2 linked regions of the Saccharomyces cerevisiae S288C genome follow. The protein of the gene in region 1 purifies or fractionates together with the protein of each later gene. This does not show direct contact. Each region holds a gene or a part of one and is shown in the gene's direction. Other genes may lie near its edges.

Evidence for each region. Proteins that work in one complex are often made in the same cells at the same time.
Region 2: the proteins of TDH2 (region 1) and GPM1 purify together in Saccharomyces cerevisiae (affinity purification with mass spectrometry; 2 studies listed by BioGRID, with this or other methods). This does not show direct contact.

What each region holds. Positions count from the first base shown.
Region 1 is NC_001142.9:453,104-456,357, reverse strand, and holds TDH2 (glyceraldehyde-3-phosphate dehydrogenase (phosphorylating) TDH2), read left to right. Parts: upstream 1-1,676; coding exon 1,677-2,675; downstream 2,676-3,254. Other genes in the region: MET3 (sulfate adenylyltransferase), read right to left, coding at 1-119; MHO1 (Mho1p), read right to left, coding at 2,912-3,254. UniProt on the Saccharomyces cerevisiae protein: Glyceraldehyde-3-phosphate dehydrogenase (GAPDH) involved in glycolysis and gluconeogenesis. Catalyzes the reaction of glyceraldehyde-3-phosphate to 1,3 bis-phosphoglycerate.
Region 2 is NC_001143.9:163,063-165,985, reverse strand, and holds GPM1 (phosphoglycerate mutase GPM1), read left to right. Parts: upstream 1-1,600; coding exon 1,601-2,344; downstream 2,345-2,923. Other genes in the region: NNR2 (NADHX dehydratase), read left to right, coding at 56-1,069. UniProt on the Saccharomyces cerevisiae protein: Interconversion of 3- and 2-phosphoglycerate with 2,3-bisphosphoglycerate as the primer of the reaction. Can also catalyze the reaction of EC 5.4.2.4 (synthase), but with a reduced activity.

The sequences.
Region 1 (3,254 bases):
CTAGGAGTCAAGTTCCATACTAAAATGTCCGAAGATTGCGCTTCAGATAACAATTCATTCTTCTTTAACGCATCTCTAGCAATCAAGTCTTGTAGAATACCACCGTGAGGAGCAGGCATGTTAATTATACTTTATTCTTGTTATTATTATACTTTCTTAGTTCCTTTTCAATTGTTAAGAAACGATATCACAACTGTTACGACAGAGAGAGACCCAAGCTAGAGATCACAAGCTAAAAAAGAACCAAGTTTACATATATATATATATATATATATATATATATATATATATCCATATTCATATTTCTCGAGAAAGAGCCTCTATTTCTCATTGGTAAGTAACTTCATAAGAGACTAAGTTGTAAAACTGTGGCTTTGTTATACGGTGATTTCCTTTGGAGGTTGCTAAGGTTTATGGTGTTGAGTGCAGTGTGCACGACAGGGACCGCTAGAATGCGGTGAGTTACAAAATTACACGTGACTTTTCTGGTCACGTGACCTTTTTTTCTGTCAGCAATCCGTAGGATGCGCGTTGGCGCTACAAGTGTGTCATATCTGTACTATATTTGTACACTTATATGTAGTTGTGACAAAAGTCTCTGTTAGTACTAAATTAAACGATGTTATATCTGTGGACCCCCTCACCTTATACCACTACGTACATATCGTTGGAAAATCTAGATCAGAGGGTGGTAAATGAAGTGTAATAGTATTCATTTTTCTTATAAATCATCCCTTCCGTGATTTATACAAAAGAAGAGGAGAATATGCTGAATACTTGGTATATTACTCTACATTATACTCTTATCTTGACGGGTATTCTGAGCATCTTACTCAGTTTCAAGATCTTTTAATGTCCAAAAACATTTGAGCCGATCTAAATACTTCTGTGTTTTCATTAATTTATAAATTGTACTCTTTTAAGACATGGAAAGTACCAACATCGGTTGAAACAGTTTTTCATTTACTTATGGTTTATTGGTTTTTCCAGTGAATGATTATTTGTCGTTACCCTTTCGTAAAAGTTCAAACACGTTTTTAAGTATTGTTTAGTTGCTCTTTCGACATATATGATTATCCCTGCGCGGCTAAAGTTAAGGATGCAAAAAACATAAGACAACTGAAGTTAATTTACGTCAATTAAGTTTTCCAGGGTAATGATGTTTTGGGCTTCCACTAATTCAATAAGTATGTCATGAAATACGTTGTGAAGAGCATCCAGAAATAATGAAAAGAAACAACGAAACTGGGTCGGCCTGTTGTTTCTTTTCTTTACCACGTGATCTGCGGCATTTACAGGAAGTCGCGCGTTTTGCGCAGTTGTTGCAACGCAGCTACGGCTAACAAAGCCTAGTGGAACTCGACTGATGTGTTAGGGCCTAAAACTGGTGGTGACAGCTGAAGTGAACTATTCAATCCAATCATGTCATGGCTGTCACAAAGACCTTGCGGACCGCACGTACGAACACATACGTATGCTAATATGTGTTTTGATAGTACCCAGTGATCGCAGACCTGCAATTTTTTTGTAGGTTTGGAAGAATATATAAAGGTTGCACTCATTCAAGATAGTTTTTTTCTTGTGTGTCTATTCATTTTATTATTGTTTGTTTAAATGTTAAAAAAACCAAGAACTTAGTTTCAAATTAAATTCATCACACAAACAAACAAAACAAAATGGTTAGAGTTGCTATTAACGGTTTCGGTAGAATCGGTAGATTGGTTATGAGAATTGCTTTGCAAAGAAAGAACGTCGAAGTTGTTGCTTTGAACGATCCTTTCATCTCTAACGACTACTCCGCTTACATGTTCAAGTACGACTCTACTCACGGTAGATACGCTGGTGAAGTTTCCCACGATGACAAGCACATCATCGTTGATGGTCACAAGATCGCCACTTTCCAAGAAAGAGACCCAGCTAACTTGCCATGGGCTTCTCTAAACATTGACATCGCCATTGACTCCACTGGTGTTTTCAAGGAATTGGACACTGCTCAAAAGCACATTGACGCTGGTGCCAAGAAGGTTGTCATCACTGCTCCATCTTCCACCGCCCCAATGTTCGTCATGGGTGTTAACGAAGAAAAATACACTTCTGACTTGAAGATTGTTTCCAACGCTTCTTGTACCACCAACTGTTTGGCTCCATTGGCCAAGGTTATCAACGATGCTTTCGGTATTGAAGAAGGTTTGATGACCACTGTTCACTCCATGACCGCCACCCAAAAGACTGTTGACGGTCCATCCCACAAGGACTGGAGAGGTGGTAGAACCGCTTCCGGTAACATCATCCCATCCTCTACCGGTGCTGCTAAGGCTGTCGGTAAGGTCTTGCCAGAATTGCAAGGTAAGTTGACCGGTATGGCTTTCAGAGTCCCAACCGTCGATGTTTCCGTTGTTGACTTGACTGTCAAGTTGAACAAGGAAACCACCTACGATGAAATCAAGAAGGTTGTCAAGGCTGCCGCTGAAGGTAAGTTGAAGGGTGTCTTGGGTTACACTGAAGACGCTGTTGTCTCCTCTGACTTCTTGGGTGACTCTAACTCTTCCATCTTCGATGCTGCCGCTGGTATCCAATTGTCTCCAAAGTTCGTCAAGTTGGTTTCCTGGTACGACAACGAATACGGTTACTCTACCAGAGTTGTCGACTTGGTTGAACACGTTGCCAAGGCTTAAATTTAACTCCTTAAGTTACTTTAATGATTTAGTTTTTATTATTAATAATTCATGCTCATGACATCTCATATACACGTTTATAAAACTTAAATAGATTGAAAATGTATTAAAGATTCCTCAGGGATTCGATTTTTTTGGAAGTTTTTGTTTTTTTTTCCTTGAGATGCTGTAGTATTTGGGAACAATTATACAATCGAAAGATATATGCTTACATTCGACCGTTTTAGCCGTGATCATTATCCTATAGTAACATAACCTGAAGCATAACTGACACTACTATCATCAATACTTGTCACATGAGAACTCTGTGAATAATTAGGCCACTGAAATTTGATGCCTGAAGGACCGGCATCACGGATTTTCGATAAAGCACTTAGTATCACACTAATTGGCTTTTCGCCGCATATGGTGTTTCCGGTGATTTCCAAGTATTGTTTCCAAGCATCGTACCTTTCACCATTTGGAGTATCACTTAGCGTTTTCATCGCATATCTGTCCATTATTTCAATGGATTGCCAAATGGGAACTTGATGATGTGAAAGTTTACTCCTAGCAGTTAACATTTCCACTTCTGTTTCC
Region 2 (2,923 bases), on another chromosome or scaffold:
GGTGAAATTTTATTAGCAACACCAGTTCAATACGATCACTACCGTATCACTGGAAATGTTAGCAGAATTGTCTCATAGAGAATTGATAAAGTTGGCGCAGAAAAGATGTATACCACCTTTATTGCCAAAGTTTCATAAGGGACAGTCTGGTGGGAGAGTTTGCATTATTGGAGGATGCGAAGATTATACAGGGGCACCGTATTTCAGCGCCAATGCTACAGCCTTGATGGGCTGTGATTTGACACATGTCATCTGCGAATACAACGCTGGTACGGTCATTAAATCGTACACCCCAAACCTAATGGTTCATCCATACCTTCGTATGAGTAACACCAAATTAGACGTTGATATGGACGAACAAAGGAAGAAAATCAATTCCTTATTGGATAGAATCCACGTTGTGGTAATTGGACCCGGCTTGGGTAGGGACCCCCTAATGTTAAAATCCATTAAGGATATCATAAGATATATACTTGAAAAACATGAGGGCAAGATCCCGTTAGTAATTGATGCTGATGGACTGTTCTTAGTAACTCAAGATAGCGAAGTCAAAGAAATGCTGAAAAGCTACCCCAAAGGTAGAGTGATCTTGACGCCCAATGTGGTAGAATTCAAAAGACTATGTGATGCCATAGGCAAGAAGGGAGACTCTCACTCCGAGATGGGCAGCTTGATCGCCCAGGAATTGAATTGTATTGTGGTGGAGAAAGGTCAGTCAGATAAGATATTCTCACCCGATAGTGAAAAAGACATGTTGACGAACAGCGAAGAGGGCAGCAACAAGAGGGTAGGAGGCCAAGGTGATACTTTGACAGGAGCTATATCATGCATGCTTGCATTTAGTCGTGCAATGTATGACTTTAAGATTTGTGAGCAGGAAGAAAAGGGAGAATCTTCTAACGATAAACCCTTGAAAAACTGGGTAGACTACGCTATGTTGAGTTGCTACGCAGGCTGCACAATTACACGAGAATGCTCCCGCCTAGGATTTAAGGCTAAGGGACGTGCAATGCAGACGACAGATCTAAATGACCGTGTCGGTGAAGTGTTCGCCAAACTTTTCGGTTAACACATGCAGTGATGCACGCGCGATGGTGCTAAGTTACATATATATATATATATATATATATATATATATATAGCCATAGTGATGTCTAAGTAACCTTTATGGTATATTTCTTAATGTGGAAAGATACTAGCGCGCGCACCCACACACAAGCTTCGTCTTTTCTTGAAGAAAAGAGGAAGCTCGCTAAATGGGATTCCACTTTCCGTTCCCTGCCAGCTGATGGAAAAAGGTTAGTGGAACGATGAAGAATAAAAAGAGAGATCCACTGAGGTGAAATTTCAGCTGACAGCGAGTTTCATGATCGTGATGAACAATGGTAACGAGTTGTGGCTGTTGCCAGGGAGGGTGGTTCTCAACTTTTAATGTATGGCCAAATCGCTACTTGGGTTTGTTATATAACAAAGAAGAAATAATGAACTGATTCTCTTCCTCCTTCTTGTCCTTTCTTAATTCTGTTGTAATTACCTTCCTTTGTAATTTTTTTTGTAATTATTCTTCTTAATAATCCAAACAAACACACATATTACAATAATGCCAAAGTTAGTTTTAGTTAGACACGGTCAATCCGAATGGAACGAAAAGAACTTATTCACCGGTTGGGTTGATGTTAAATTGTCTGCCAAGGGTCAACAAGAAGCCGCTAGAGCCGGTGAATTGTTGAAGGAAAAGAAGGTCTACCCAGACGTCTTGTACACTTCCAAGTTGTCCAGAGCTATCCAAACTGCTAACATTGCTTTGGAAAAGGCTGACAGATTATGGATTCCAGTCAACAGATCCTGGAGATTGAACGAAAGACATTACGGTGACTTACAAGGTAAGGACAAGGCTGAAACTTTGAAGAAGTTCGGTGAAGAAAAATTCAACACCTACAGAAGATCCTTCGATGTTCCACCTCCCCCAATCGACGCTTCTTCTCCATTCTCTCAAAAGGGTGATGAAAGATACAAGTACGTTGACCCAAATGTCTTGCCAGAAACTGAATCTTTGGCTTTGGTCATTGACAGATTGTTGCCATACTGGCAAGATGTCATTGCCAAGGACTTGTTGAGTGGTAAGACCGTCATGATCGCCGCTCACGGTAACTCCTTGAGAGGTTTGGTTAAGCACTTGGAAGGTATCTCTGATGCTGACATTGCTAAGTTGAACATCCCAACTGGTATTCCATTGGTCTTCGAATTGGACGAAAACTTGAAGCCATCTAAGCCATCTTACTACTTGGACCCAGAAGCTGCCGCTGCTGGTGCCGCTGCTGTTGCCAACCAAGGTAAGAAATAAGTCTGAAGAATGAATGATTTGATGATTTCTTTTTCCCTCCATTTTTCTTACTGAATATATCAATGATATAGACTTGTATAGTTTATTATTTCAAATTAAGTAGCTATATATAGTCAAGATAACGTTTGTTTGACACGATTACATTATTCGTCGACATCTTTTTTCAGCCTGTCGTGGTAGCAATTTGAGGAGTATTATTAATTGAATAGGTTCATTTTGCGCTCGCATAAACAGTTTTCGTCAGGGACAGTATGTTGGAATGAGTGGTAATTAATGGTGACATGACATGTTATAGCAATAACCTTGATGTTTACATCGTAGTTTAATGTACACCCCGCGAATTCGTTCAAGTAGGAGTGCACCAATTGCAAAGGGAAAAGCTGAATGGGCAGTTCGAATAGTACTTAAGATTAGTTAAAAGTCCATGATTGAACATTGATGTGGTAGTTACATGCATGATGAATATGCGCCATGAGAGGTTGGTGAATTTTGAGATAATTGTTGGGATTCCAATGTTGATAAAGGCTGTTATATTATGTATACAGAATATACTGGAAGTGTCTCCTCGAGGATATAGGC